2 linked regions of the Kluyveromyces lactis genome follow. The protein of the gene in region 1 interacts with the protein of each later gene in a biochemical or structural test. Links are inferred from orthologs where the notes say so. Each region holds a gene or a part of one and is shown on either strand. Other genes may lie near its edges. The genes, in order: MAF1 and SCH9.

Region 1 (7,127 bases):
ATTGTCCGCTTTGGCTTTGGCTCATTTGGCTGAAAAAGCTGGTTTCCCTAAAGGTGTTTTCAACGTCGTATTGACTGCTACCAGAACTCCAGAATTCGGTTTGGCTCTATGTGAATCTCCAAAAGTTAAGAAGATTTCGTTCACTGGGTCGACCAACGTCGGTAAGATCTTGATGAAACAAAGTGCATCTACTATGAAGAAATTGTCCTTTGAATTAGGTGGTAATGCTCCGGTCATTGTCTTCGACGATGCTGATTTGGAGCAAGCCGTTACTCAAACTATTTTGTCCAAATTTAGAGGCCTAGGTCAAACTTGTGTGTGCGCTAACAGAATCTATGTTCAACGTACCATCATTGATTCATTTGCTGAAAAATTGGCTAAACAAGTGAACGAGTTCGTCATTGGCCATGGTTTGGACTCTAAGACTACTCACGGATGTCTAATTAATGAAAATGCTATAAAGAAAGTTGAAGCTCATGTAAAGGACGCCTTGGAAAAGGGTGCAAAGACCGTCGTTGCTGGTGGTCGTTTGCCAGAATTAGGTCCAAACTTCTACGCTCCAACCGTACTATCTCATGTTCCATCCACGGCTGTGGTTAATAAAGATGAGACTTTCGGTCCTCTCTGTGCCTTGATTCCATTCGATACCATGGAAGAAGTCGTAGGATATGCTAACGATACTGAATTGGGTCTAGCATCATACGTGTTCTCTAAGAACATTGATACCGTATACACCGTTGCTGAAGCTTTGGAAACCGGTATGGTCTCATGCAACACTGGTTTGTTCAGTGAGTGTACCATTCCATTCGGCGGTGTTAAGGAATCCGGATTCGGTAGAGAGGGATCTTTGCACGGTATTGAAGACTATACTGTCATCAAGACTATCACCATCGGAAACTTGCCTGCTCCACTATAAATTGATGGGCGTAACTGATTATAATAGTAGACGATATGTACCATATGTATATAGAAACGTATTTCCAGTAGTGTAGCAATTTATATTTATCCTCGGATTAAGAGCGGATTAACATAGCATGATATAAGTTGAGTTGATTATTCAACCTGAGTTAACCAGTTATTGGAACGAGAATCCAATTGTTTTCTATTTGATAGCCTCGTATTGACTGTTTCGTTACGCGTAGTGATTGTGATTACATTTAACAATTGATTTGAAAAAACGTTATTATGGCGTAAGTGAAAGCTTAGTAACGATCTGCAAAGATAAAGCCACAACAGTAATTAGCTGCCACTTTCCAGTACTCAGTGCCATCCTTCACTTGAGCTTAGTGGGGGTTCAGCTGCTGTTGTTTTCCCACCATGGATTTATATGAACAACTTCCGTCCAGTGGTATGATTCATCAACCGGAATACAAGTTCTTACTGGATGCCGCTACCTTTCATGGGATCACCTGCTTAGATTTCCTATCCCAGTCACCATCTAACTTGATGAAGACCATTAATAGATCTATCAATGAGATTATAAAGTTTCAAGCCGCTCTACGAAATGAATTCGAATTGGCATTGGCCGATATTAAGATACAAGACATCACAACACTGAAGGAGGATGACAAACCACGATGTTTCACCACCGGGAACCTTGGATTAGACAAACTTTTAGGCGGAGGCATATATTCAAAAGGTATCACTGAAATATTCGGAGAAAGTAGCACTGGGAAGTCACAATTACTTCTGCAGTTGGCACTCTCTGTTCAGTTGCCAGAAGACATGAATGGCCTTAACGGGCAGAGCGTATATATCACTACGGAGGGTGACTTACCAACCAGAAGGCTGAAAAGCATCATAGAACAATCATCTTTGTTTAAAGATGAAGGTGGCGATTGCTTGGTGTCTCAAAAGAAAATATTCACTGTCACCTGTAATGACTGGGCTAATCAAGAACATGTTACAACAGTCCAGCTTCCAGTCCTACTGGAAAGACACCCATCTATTAAATTAGTAATAATAGATTCGATTTCGCACCATCTCAGGGTTGAGTTGCAATCGAAAACATTTCAAGAATCGAGATCAAACAGGTATATTATAGATTCCATGGCAGAGAACTTACTTTCTTTAGCTCAAAAACATAATTTGGCCATCGTCGTCGCCAATCAAGTAAGTGACAAACTTTTACCAGAGAAGCCAATACGACAGGACTTCAAGGATTATGATTATCAGCTGGGCTGGAACATCGGATGGAAGAATTCGACTATTTTTTATAGACACAAATTCAATGAAATAGAGAAATATGATGAGACCATATTGAGTGACGATGAGGACTATACGTTAATTGTAGACCAGGTTGCAAGGAAATTACAACAGAATGTTCCGGCTAGTGTTCCAGATACAAATAATAAAGACCCTGCGCAGTCTGTCGCAGCATTGAGGACTGAAGCGCTGCGGAATAATGTTATCTCTCAACAAAACTCACCTCAGCCTACTCAAAGTAAAACCCCTGTGGTACCGTCACAGCCCCAACCATCCGCACCTTTCCTGTTATCAAGAAGGAAACGAGAAGTTGACACGAAGGTACCAAATCTCGGTTTAACTTGGGCTAACCATTTAATGACAAGAATAAAACTGGAGAAACGATATAAAGCATCACCTATGGTACGCACGGGGGAATTCAATTACAACAATACAACAGATACCTCTCAATTTTGGCAAGTGCAGAGAAATCTGAAGCTAGTGTTTTCGACTTATGCGGTGAAAGGTGAAATGAATTTTGCGATTAGTGGAGAAGGTGTTATTTCGGTACAGTGATATATCAATTGCGCTTTAACTCCTGTCAAGAAAACTCAAAGATATGGAGAAATATAATTAAGCAACTTTGAATCATATAAAGTGTTACGTGTTGCGTATTTATTTTGTATGGAAAGGTTCAGTTTACGTCATAGAAGGACTGTCATGATTTTATATTTATATTTGAAATAAGAACAATAGTGTTAATAATAAAACATAGGTAGAAAGACAGAGAGAGTTAGAAAAAAATGATACAGCAAGAAGAAATACTATAGGTTACAACATCCAAATAATGCACTGCTTTAGCTATCGTGAACTTGGGGAAGGTAATTCAATAAAAATACAGGAAAGCGATAAGTTGGTTCGAAAATGTAATGATAATCAGTTAAGATCATCCATGGCTTCATCCTTGAAATCTTCGTTGATGCCCTCATCATCATCAATTATAGCATTCTCCTCATAAGTTAAATCATATTCGCCTTCAAAATCGTTGTCGTTATCTAACGTCAATTTCCTTCTCTGTTTACGTTCTGATTCTAGTTTACTTGAATTTTCATCTTCGTCATCCGCCAATATGACACTATTTCCAACAGAGGGAGTTCCTTTCAAACGGCATGCTGTTAGATAAACATATGCGACTCTTTTCCTTTTTTTATTGAACAAAAACCACATCAATGACCAAAGATGGCCAGGCTCATCTTCAAGAAACGATTTTTGAGGGACATATTGATAGAAAGCGCAATCGTTGATATCCATATGTCCGTTGATCGTTTCCCAGATCCATTCCTGAGGTGGTTTTCCTAAAGATATCAAGGTATTTTCGAACTTCGAGATGAAACTTTTCTTGGTGCATTTCACGAAATCGGTGGGCTCTAATGACGAAAAATCGTGATCCGGATAGGACGCATTCAAAATGGCTATTAGATACGCGAAAGCTCTCCTGCTAGCAGTTTCGTTGATAGGTCCAAACGGTCCAATATTTACGTTGTCTCTTCCTTGTACCGATGACCTCCTCCTCTGTTGGTATGAAGTATTTTGTATTTCATTCGCTGAACCACTTGTGCTAGGTCTTCTTTTCGAAGTATCGGTATGGTTGCTTGCAATGCTTCCAGCACTGCTAGTCCTCCTTAGGAAACTGGGACGTTGTGAAGCGATCCCTAAAGGCCCCGATTCCATTGATGATGAACTCAAATATCCGTTATTGGAGTTAGCATTGGTGGTACTACTATTACTATTGTTGTGTCCATTCGTGACAAAATTTGTACTGTCAGTTGACAGCACGAATTCCTTCAAATTTTGGTCGTTCAACTTATTAGATTTTATTATAGGTGACGAACTATTTGTCCCACTCGAATTCTCGCTAACAGACATCCTTCTCTTTTGTTCCCAGAATGAATTAGGGTTTGGGCTCTGTTGCTCTTGCACATTTTCATCGATAGTTCTGTTCTTTTCGTCAAAAGATTGCCTCCTGTGAGCTGCAGCAGTAAGCGACTCACTTTCTTGAAGTAAGGACTCCAAATGACGATCTATGGTCTTATAAAGCTTCTTATCTGAAGCTACGGGCTTTGTCGTGAAAATGTCGCAACCACCTGTGATACTGCAGTCCGAGGTCTCGAAATTAAGAGCCTGGTTAACAACCTCTAAATCAAATTCATCGATAAACTTTAAAAGATGTTAAGTAACACATGATGCAAAAAATATACATACATGCCGTTAATATAAGGTTAGTATTCCGTTTGTTCATTATGAATATGTCAGAACTATATTAAAACACGATTATTCGCATACCTTCATTATTGCAGGTTAATTGGAAGCGGTGAAACGTTTGAAAATAAAACAGTATTCTTGAGAGCTCAAAGACACACTGTGCTAGATTCAACTAAATTGACGGCCTCCTATCAAGCTTGTTATGGTTGGCTGTTCGAAAACTCATTGTAAGGGCAGCGTTATCGGTCTTTGTGATAATTTCAACTCAGCACATGTTACTTCGAGAAACGGGAACGCGCATTAAAAGGTCGGGTAACCCTCAGTTATGAGGCCACAGCTAGGTGAGTTGAAAGCAGACAGCACCATTGAACAGAAGCTACCATCTCCAAGCTAACATTGACATTCTATAGTCAAAAAGAAGTTGCTTTATGTATGTTCCTGTATGTACAAATCCGTGGCAACCACAACTTTTTATGCGGTAAAGAATTAAAGTATTATGATATTAGAAATTAATGTTACTATGTGAAATAAATGTTGTTAGAGAGGAGCTTGCTCTGTGAGTGAACGATAACTATAGATAGTCCGTTTTATAGATCCAGTCTGCTCCAATTAGATCTGCTCCTTGATCCTTTGCGAGTCTGAACCATTTAGCTGCTCGTCTTAAATCTTTTTTCCTATTTGGAGTCGTCTTTGACCAAATGGTACCGCATAAACACATAGAATCAACGTGTCCCAACGATGCTGCATATTCCAAACATTTCAGACCCTTCCATTCATGAGCAGTGACACCGTATCCCTTCATATAAGCTATACCACATTCGTACAGAGCGGGGGCAGCTGCGTCATTCTGTAGAGATGGAAGCGGTTCACGTATCTCAAATGGATCTATATTTGCATGTAATACGCTGGTTTTGAAATCCTTGATACCCGTTGCACCTCTAATCCAGTTAAATGATTCGTGTAAATCGATTTCGGTACCAGACCCGTATCTTAAGGCAAGACCATACAGCAAAAAAGCTGTTCTGTCCTCCAATTTACACGCTTCTTTGAGATGTGCAGTTGACCCTTTCAGGTCACCTTTGTTTCTTAATTCAATGGCAATATTGATTCGTTGTTTTGCAATGAGACGTTTGTTAGAGTTATTTCTCTGCACTAGTTCACCTTGTGATGTAGATGATGGTTGGACGACAGGTTCACGGTCGTTCCTAGATGCAGTAGATGAATTGGACGAGGAAGAGGTTGTAGAAGGTTTTCTACCACCTAAAGTGGTTACTGGTAAAATCGTTGGCCTTGGATCCAATAACATTTTATAACTATGTTGTGATCTCGAAGCAGACCCTGAGCTCTGTTTGGAGCTCGAAGAGGATGATGTTTGTGGTTCAGATCTTTGATTATTTGCATGAGTGATATGCGAAAAGATTCCTCTTCCTTTGGAGAGACTACGTTTATGATTGGTGCTTTGATTTACATTCGTAGTTTGTGATTCATTCTTGTCCTTATAAAGTGAGACAGTGTTCTCTTCCTTGTCATAGCGTTCATTTTCTTCACCAAGATTGAGCTGATGTGGGAACTTGAACTTAGATGTCGGTGTATTTGGTACGGAAGTAGATTTTCCAGGAGTATCCACAATCGTCTTGTTGCTCATTGGCGATGAATAATCATTTATTGGAGTTTCAGGTTGGTGATGACTTACCTTTGGTGATTTGAACAAATTCTTAAATGAAAATGATGATGATTTCTTCGATTGGTGCCCTTTCTTAAAGTCCTTGCTAGGTGGTGTTGAAACCTCGAACGGGAACGAAAGGAATGAGTTGGACGCGGTACTCTTCTTTGGTGTTTGAAACCCGTTGACTAGACCATTAGATTGCTCACTCTCGGATGATGATTGTGTTGAGGGATGGTTTAATACAATGGAAGACAGGCTCGTCTTGGGGGTGTGTGATGGGGTGTTTACAGGTGTTCCAAATTCGTATTTATTATAAGGAGAAAACATCATATCAGTAATCGCTGGGGTAACGTTATATCGAACTGGTTCATGTTTCTTGAAGCGAAACTTCTCTATGTTTATTGGCTGATCAGATGACGTGTTCGGCTTCACACCATTCGATGCAGATGTAACAGTCCCCTTTTCCACACCATTACTGGCTCCCGATAACTCAGTCACTTGTGATTGTACCTCGTCGTCATCATGTTCCTCCACTGTTATATAAGAATATCTCAGATCTGCCACGTTGTTCTCTACAGCTATTGCCTTTGAAGTTTCTCTCTTGGTATCTTCAGAAATCATTGGTGTCGAGCCGGTACTAGAGATGCGTCGGTGACTGAAACCGGAGTGTCCTGAAGAATGCCTCAACGAAAGGAAACCTGATGCTGGAAGACATACGGATGGTTTCTGTCTATTCACTTTTGATGTCTCTTCGCGTTGCTTCTCTTGATCACTTTCCTCCAAAGCTTTCTGCAACAACAGTTCTTCCTCAGCACTTAAGTCCAACTTATCTAATAATCTCCCTGTCGTCTGAATTGAATCAAAACTTATCACAGATACGTTCTCATGCTGCAGCCCCATTAGGTCAGATCGGGTGCCTGTCCGCTTCTGAAGACCATCCAACGGGGAAAAATGTTCAATGCTCATCGTCTTTTCTTGGTCTAACTTCCGCTAAATCACCGACTCTAATGTTTAT
Region 2 (8,393 bases), on another chromosome or scaffold:
TTTAATACTGGACAACGAAAGTTCTGGTATGAAAGAATGAATTTCTCTCGTGGAGAGTCTTCCTTTGTTGACCAACACGGATAGAACAGTACTGGCTCTTTCACCAAGATGGGATCTGGCAAGTTCAGAGTATAAAAACGAATCTGGGTTAAGAGTTCTCTGCTCTAATGAAGAGATATCGATTGGTTCTGGTGATGTGGATGTGGATGGTTCTGCGGCTGATACAACACTTGCACCACCATTTGGAACAGCCGCATCGGGGATCAGGGCAGCTTGGGCAGCACTCATGTCAGTGCTTGCAATAACAATTGTTTATTTTCCTACCTTTTCTACAGTCGAGCCACCTTGTTGCAGTAGTCATGCATGTATGCGATGAGATGAGATGAGATCAATTCAATTGATAGATTTTTTTTTTCTTTCAATACGAATGGATGGGTCTTTCAAGAAGATCGAAAGAAACAGGCAACATTATTGTAAGTCACGTGGTCACAACCACGTGACTTTTGTGTTTCTGTGTCACGTGACATCTCATCACTCACGAACCAATCATTTCTAAGAACCGTGTCCAACCATTTTTTCTTCAAATGGTTTACCAATACCCTTTCACAGTGCATTACGCGATTCCTGTCTGTTCCCTCTCACTCCCAGTACGTTCCGCTAAAACCCGATATCCCCTTCTTACTGTGACTCCAAGATGGTCTAAGCACGCTTCTCCTTTCTACAGAATCAGCTCGCTTCTTCTCTGATTCCTCTGTAGAGATCAGTCTTCACATCTCGAAATATCTTTTTTTTTTCAATTTTTTTTTTTTTTGTTAGTTATTGGATTTTATCGCATATAGCTTTATTCAATAGGTTCTTGAAAAATTTATAACAAAATATGACAATTCTACTTCAAAGTTTAGAGCTTTTTGTTTGAAGATTGGTTTTGATTACAGGTTTTGTAAAGATTTGTGATTGATATACTATTTTGATTACTTTGTTTTACTCGTTACTCTGTCAGTGTACTTTTTTTGCTCTGTTTCGATACTTATTTTGTGTGTGAGTAAATATTATTTGAGTTTGGACATTAAAGGAAAAGTAGAGGAAGACCTTTTGATTAACGCATAATTGATATTGATATTGATTGATATTCTGACTCCCAAAATTAAAAAGCCCATAAACATATAATATAAAGATGTTGTCCAGTAGATTACAATTTGCCCAGCAAACTGCTAGAAAATTCAGTATTTCCGCTAAAGACGGTTCCGGTAAACTATCCACTTTGGCTGTTAAGGTTCACGGTGGTTCTCGTTACGCCGACAAAGAAGGTATTGCCCACCTTTTGTCCAGATTCAACTTCCATAACACCGGTAACAAGTCTGCTTTGAGATTGGTTAGAGAAAGTGAATTGTTGGGTGGTAAGTTCGAATCCAGTGTTGACAGAGAATACATCACTTTGAAGGCTACTTTCTTGAAGGAAGATCTTCCATACTTCGTTAACGCTTTGGGTAACGTTTTGTACAAGACCAGTTTCAGACCCCACGAATTACCAGAATCTGTCTTGCCAGCTGCTAAGTACGACATTTCCGTTTCTGAAACTAACCCAATCAACAAGGCCGAAGACTTACTTTACAATGTCTCTTTCAGAAAGGACTTAGGTAACACAGTTCTATACAGAGGTGTCGAGAAGGTCACCTTGGATGATATCAAGGCTTATGCCAACAAGGTCTACACCAAGGAAAACATTGAAATTGTTGGTCAAGGTGTCAACGAAGCTGACTTGAAGAGATTTGTCAACGACTCTTTGATTGGTTCTTTACCAACTGGCTCCAAGTTGGCTGCTCAAGCTCAACCAAAGTTCTTCTCCGGTGAAGCCAGATTAAGTGCTCCAGGTGCCTCCGTTGCCGCTATCGCTGTTCCAGTTACTAAGGAACAGTTCGCTACCTACGAAGTCTTGGCTAAGTACCTAACCTCTGCTTTGTCCGAATTGTCTCCATTAATTGACTCAGCTAAGTTAGACAAGTACGCTAATGCCGGCTTGTTCTCTTTATACGTCAAGGGTGAGGATGCTTCTGTCGTTGCTGAAAACATAAAGAAGGTCGTTGATACCTTGAAGAAGGATGTCGACATTTCAGCTGCTAAGGAATACACTGCCTTGCAATTATCTTTGGAAAACGCTCCAATCGATGTCTCTAATGTCAAGAATGTCAAGTTGGACAAATTCTCTTACGCCGCTGTAGGTAACGTCGCTAAGCTACCTTTCGCTGATGAATTGTAAATTTCATCACAGTTAAAAATAACTCACAGATTTTAACCTTTCTCCTACTAGCCAAAGTTACACACATAGTACTTTAAAACTGAAAAAAAAACAACAAACAAACACACATATTCATGAGAGATGACAGAATCACATCACTGAAATGTTTAGAAACGATATTACATTTCTATTGTACATATTTTTTATTATCTTTTACCTTTCGTGGCTTTTGGAAACATTGCAACCTAAAAGAAACCAATAAAATTCAAAAACAAAACTCTCTAAGATTCAAAAGAACACCTTTAACCTTTGGAAAAACTGGTGATGTTAAAAGAGAACCCGTCAATATCTTAATCTTTTGAAATGTGCAGAAGCCACTGATCAAATTCAACAGTTCTGTTGATTCATACAATCCCCATCACTGCTCTTAAGAAAAACAATCAAACAGAGGTTGTGGTGATATTGCAAGAACGTTGGTTTAATACGTAGTGTGTCTTCTTGCCGAACCTATTTTTATTTTCACATATCATCTTAGAAACTTATCACTTATTTATTGAAGTATATATCTCTGAACAAATATCAGTTAACATATTATTGAGAACTAGCAAGTGGAAAGAATATCATAGATTACAGACAGAATAAAAAATAATAAATGATACATTTGGATAATTACTACAATTGACGTTCTAAAAAGAAAATCATAACGGAAATAATAAATTAAGTTAAGTTAAGGTAAAGTTTAACTAAAGTCTTTAGTGAATACTGAATGATTAAAGAGGTTCGATAACAGTTCTCAAAACTCCATTGGAAAAAGTAAATGATTACATTAAACATATGTAATCAAAGAAAAAAGATAAAAAGGCCATCCAACTTCTGAGAGCTCACAAACTGTCTTCGGTTGGGGAACAGGTAAGAATCATTCTAAAAGCTAGCACTAGAATATTACAATAAGGCATGAAAAACCATTATCCGTGCATTGGAAAATTGTACATTCGTACTTTGAAAAACGGTGATGTAAAGGCAATTGAATATTATAGTAACAACGATCGATTCCTGTTCAACTTTTTCCTGCAAATTAGATTCATATGAAAATGATAGAACATGTTCTGAACGATAGTGGGGAAAAGCAGGAAACTAAATAAATACAACTGCGAATGGAGAATATGAGAATCAGTAGCATGGCAAAATTGGGATGTAATTATCTTAATTAGGTGAATGAAATAAAAAGATCAACCAAAAAATGTATAAAGCACTGATGTAAGATGAATTCGATTTAGATTTCGAATCTACCATTAACAAATTCATCATCCATGTGATGGTCGCCGTCATAGTCTACAGAAATACCACCACTTCCCTTCACAGCTGCAAGTCTATCATTATCCTCTTCCTCGTCATCAATAACGTCTTCGTCTGGAGGTAGGTTAGGATTACCAGGAATAAATGAACCGGGCTCCATGAAATATGAGTTTTGTAAAAACTTACGATTATTGTATGCATTGTTATAATGCTCATCAATAGCAGATTCATCAACGAACGTAAATCCAACAAATTTGGCTTGCATTGCAGGCGAAAGCGGAGTAGCTGCAATCGGCTGCTTATTCATGAAAGAGGTTGAGGTTTGGGTGAACTCAGGATCAAAGTTCGAAGTGTCAGTCTCAGAGATCAAATGAGGTTTGAATGGAGGTGGGATTTTCTTTTGTCTCACAGCTTCCCAGTCGATGTCATTGAAAAATGGATGAGCTCTTAGTTCTCTTCCGTCATCTATGGCACCAAGTCTATGTTTAGGATTTCTATTCAACAATCCCTTAACAAAAGATCTACCTTCTGGTGATAAAACATCACGAGGGAACTTGACTTTACCGAACGCAATCTTTTGGTACATTTTTTGGTTATCAGATGCGAAGAATGGAGACCATCCACAGCACATTTCAAAAATTAGAACACCTAAAGACCAGAAATCGACCATTTTTGTGTATCCAGTTTCATCCATTAATAGTTCTGGAGCGAGGTATTCAGTAGTACCACAGAAGGTATTCGTTCTATCCTTAAGGTCAGCTTTCGAAAGACCAAAGTCGCAAAGAGCGATGTTGCCGTTAGCATCCAGCAAAATATTCTCCGGTTTCAAATCTCTGTAAACGATATCGTTATCATGTAGGTACTCTAAGGCAAGCACCAACTCTGCAATATAGAATTTTGCACGATCTTCAGTGAATCTTCCTTCTTTTTGTAAATGCCAGAAAAGCTCACCACCGCTCATGAAATCTGTGACTAAATACAAATCAGTTGGTGTCTGGAAAGAGAATTTCAACCCGACAATAAATGGAGAAGATTTGGAAGCAGTACGAACCAAAATATTTCTTTCACCGATAGTATGAGCGATTTCGTTTTTCTTGACAATCACTTTCTTAGATAGAACTTTCATAGCATAGATTCTCATAGTGTCCTTCTTTCTAACTTGATAAACTTGTCCGAACGTACCCTTACCCAATAACCTCAAAACTTCGAAATCCTGTGGTCCATATTGTCTCTTCTTGGTAGAAGTATATTCCCAGTGAATCAGAATATCACCAGTGACATGTTCACCCAAAGCTCTTGATTTTAGCTTATGCCATTCACTATGAACACCGGGAGTGACAGCGTTCATATTTGGATGTAATCTTACTTGACCCAAGAACATGTCATCTTGGGCAGCGTCATAAATAGAGATGTCTAACTCAGAGTGAGTTCCTAGGACATCGAAAGTAGCTTCGTGTTCCCATACAGGATTAATGGAACCTCTCTTTAAGTTTAATTGGTTATTACCCAATTTATCCAGCTGAGAAGAGGATTGTCTAGTGTATAAAGGTCTCTTAAGTTTTTCGTTGGTATTAAGCAACCCTTTGCTCCATTGGTTATTGGAGTTAGCAGCTGAAATAGAAGGATATTTGTTATCCAAGGATTCAGGACCATTGGAAATGAACTCAGAACTTTCAAACGTACAAACAACGTAAGGTTGCGATGCAGAAGGCGATCTTATCGAAAGATTCAAGGCTTCTGCAATAACAATCCTAAGTTTGCCCCTGGGTAGCTGTCCATTACTATTGTTAGAATCTGAACGAGATGATGTAGAAGATCCGTTGTCTGTGGTGCTGATTTCTGGTGCAGCAGCCATGCTAGGTTGAGCCGCATCAGAAGATTGCGCGTATTGCGGTGCTCGCTGCTGTTGCTGCTGTTGCTGCTGTTGCTGTTGTTGCTCTTGAATATTTGAATCCATAGAGGCCTTCATATGATCCAGAATGTTCTCCTGCTGCTGCCGATTCTGATTAAGACCGGTAGTTCCCATAGCGTAGGAATGCTCACTGAGAGCAGTGGTAGGTGTCGCAGTCGCCGAATGCGAGCCTATGCTTGGAAAGAACCCAGCACCTGCAGTTCCCGCACTCTTCGGACGAGGTACAGCAGCATTGTTGCCCTCATTCTGGGACTTGAAGAAGTTCATCATGGCGTTCGATGGCAACGTCAGATAATGTGAACTGAAGCTCGAAGTATTAATTACAAAAAGTGAACCTTCCTCACTTAATTAACGATCTGCGATAACTAGCGTGGACCTTGACTCAGACCTTGAGACCGGAATGGCGAATTGCAAGCACTTAAAACCAAAAAAAAATTATTAATCCCCCCCGATAAATTGGATCGATTAATCCACTCTTATATTACTAAAATAAACCGATGAACCAGTAATAGAACGCTTCACGGGATTAAATAAAATGAGCTCGAATCAGAATACTTGGTCACTGATCTCACAAATATGAACCTTGCCTCAAGTTCTTATATTACACTCGATCGATTATCGATCCTTTTTTCGATTAAAATAAAAGATAATCCTTTGAAAGCACCGATAGAAAATCAATATATACCACCAGAAACCTTACACGCCTCCGATCTTCACAAAGACTCTCTAGCGTAGCTTCAAAAACACCCTGTGCAGAAATATACCCGTTTCACTTGCAGAAGTATAACTACAGCACAAACGAAAAGCCGCTTCCTTGTTTTCTGTTTCCTATTTCCTATTCAAGTTTCCATTCCTCATTTCTTATTCTTCGTTTCTTTATTTTCAGCATCTTGTTTCTTTATTCCATTCGAAACTCACTTTTCTCGATTTCCTTTCCTTTTTCCGAATTTCAAGTAGTGAACTGCGAGATTGCAAGAGCTGACGTCTTCGGGTTTGTTTAGATAAGAGGAAAAGGAAGGGCAGGAAAAAGAAATAGGCCGGTTGCCATCCTCGAGAATAGACGTACGGGTAAGATATGTATTATATTACAAAACGAAGATATTAGTTATTGGTATGCAGTTGATGAGCAGTTGAGATTTGCGATTTATCGAGATGTAGCTCTCTTTGCTCGAGTCATCGAAGAAGAGGCTTGATTTATTGACAACGACTACGTCGTTGTCACCAAGGTCAATGCCATCTATTGCGGTTACTGTGTAGGTATGTATGCTTGTATCGTCTTTGGGTTTACAGTTTTGCTTGTTCAAGACATCATATAGATCGAATTTCGAGTTAGGGTCCTGCACTTCAATAGAGTTCGGGTGCCATGTAAAATCGAGGAAAGCGATCTTGATACCGTAGATTGATTGGAACCGGTACATTCGAGCGTCAGAAGACCATTGGTGTGTCGATATCAGTGTTGAGTCCGGGTCTCTGCTTCCTATGGTTCCTTCGAATGCTTTTGTCAATGGGACCAGACAAATTTTCTGTTGGGAGAAAGACCAATGAGAGTATAGTTCTGGTGTTAGCTCGAAAGGTATGTATCCTTTGTTCCATGCAGGTTGTTCCAAGGTAGCCTGATATCTGAAATCTATTTCAAACAGTTTTGGATCGGATAGCACGTCGGAATCTTGGAAACCTTGTCTATTCGATTGTCTCTTGGTGTACGCCAGTTCAGGAGAAATACATTGGCCATCTAGTTTCTTCTTAGCATGGTTAATTCTCCTGTTAGGAGATTTGGTCCTTCTCATCCAGTTTTTCGCCTTTAGCAAATGGAACTGGTACATTTCTGTAGTAACATGAGGTGGGTCTGCTTCCCTCCTGTATGATTCGTAACGTCTCTTTAAACCCACATCGATCCAGAATGGATGCGCTTCTGTACTGAAAATATGATTCCATAGCGTTGTATGCAATTCGTTATCCTCATCGAACAATAAATACAGATACTTCAACGTCTCCCCTAGGACAAATGATTCCATTCGGTCTTGAACTTCTCCAGTAGTCACATCCTGTAGCCCCGCAAATCCACACCTAGTCTTGAAGCGATGCTGTAGATCTTTTAGAATTCGAATACCGATATTCAAATAATAAACGTCTTTAGTGGCTCTGTAAAGGTAATACGTCGATTCAATGAACTCCGGTCTCAATGGATACCATTCTAAATCTATCGACAATGAGGGTGAGTCTAATTCTTCGGTGGTCGGTGGCGATTGCACAAAGTTCCATCTTTCTGGGATACCACCGTATGTAGACCATAGTTTGGAAAACATTATGTGTTTCTTCCTTGCATCTTCCAGCCTTCCATCTAAAGTCAGTAGACCAGGAAAGAAAGCACTTAACGAATCTATCCAAAGAACGACAGTTTTACCATGAGATACTCCAACGTTACTGTAGAACCAATCTGTCTTTGAGTAAGAGTTAAGGGCGGATATTGCAGTTTCCCACACACTATAGAGCCACGAATCATCGAATAAGATGGAACCCTTAAGAGCAGTTTCGTAAAATGAATCAATCGATGCACCAATACCTGTAACCTCGTTGTATATCGTGGTATCGTATGGACTGAACGACATTGGAACGAGATTCAATTCTGATCTAAGATCCCAGGTTCTGTTGAATGAAAATTCAGAGACTTCGCGGTAAGTATCATTCAACGTCAACATCGAAAGCAGCCTGAATTCAAACAATGGAGATGCTGTCGCAGCAGCATTATTCTCCTCAATAAGTTTGGGATCAATCCGAGTACCGTAACGGAGATTTATCCTGGGTACAGGTAAACCTGTGGGAGATAGGTATGCCATAAGCAACTTATCACCTAGGGCAATACATCTTCGTAGCAAAAATCCATCATAGTTATCTTTACCCAAGTAAACCTTGGTGCGTGGGTCTGTTGCATATATATGCGCAGACATC

The links.
Region 2: of the proteins of MAF1 (region 1) and SCH9, one has a biochemical effect on the other in vitro, tested with the Saccharomyces cerevisiae proteins (5 studies listed by BioGRID). The link is inferred for Kluyveromyces lactis from reciprocal best matches to the Saccharomyces cerevisiae genes MAF1 and SCH9.

What each region holds. Positions count from the first base shown.
Region 1 is NC_006041.1:1,554,560-1,561,686, forward strand, and holds MAF1 (RNA polymerase III-inhibiting protein MAF1), read right to left. Parts: upstream 4,111-7,127; coding exon 3,121-4,110; downstream 1-3,120. Other genes in the region: UGA2 (succinate-semialdehyde dehydrogenase (NAD(P)(+))), read left to right, coding at 1-916; putative DNA-dependent ATPase RAD57, read left to right, coding at 1,318-2,760; DSF2 (Dsf2p), read right to left, coding at 5,018-7,078. UniProt on the Saccharomyces cerevisiae protein: Mediator of diverse signals that repress RNA polymerase III transcription. Inhibits the de novo assembly of TFIIIB onto DNA.
Region 2 is NC_006038.1:323,362-331,754, forward strand, and holds SCH9 (serine/threonine protein kinase SCH9), read right to left. Parts: upstream 5,715-8,393; coding exon 3,510-5,714; downstream 1-3,509. Other genes in the region: RPC82 (DNA-directed RNA polymerase III subunit C82), read right to left, coding at 1-288; QCR2 (ubiquinol--cytochrome-c reductase subunit 2), read left to right, coding at 1,175-2,257; alpha-1,2-mannosidase MNL1, read right to left, coding at 6,530-8,393. UniProt on the Saccharomyces cerevisiae protein: Protein kinase that is part of growth control pathway which is at least partially redundant with the cAMP pathway. Regulates both BCY1 phosphorylation and MPK1 activity.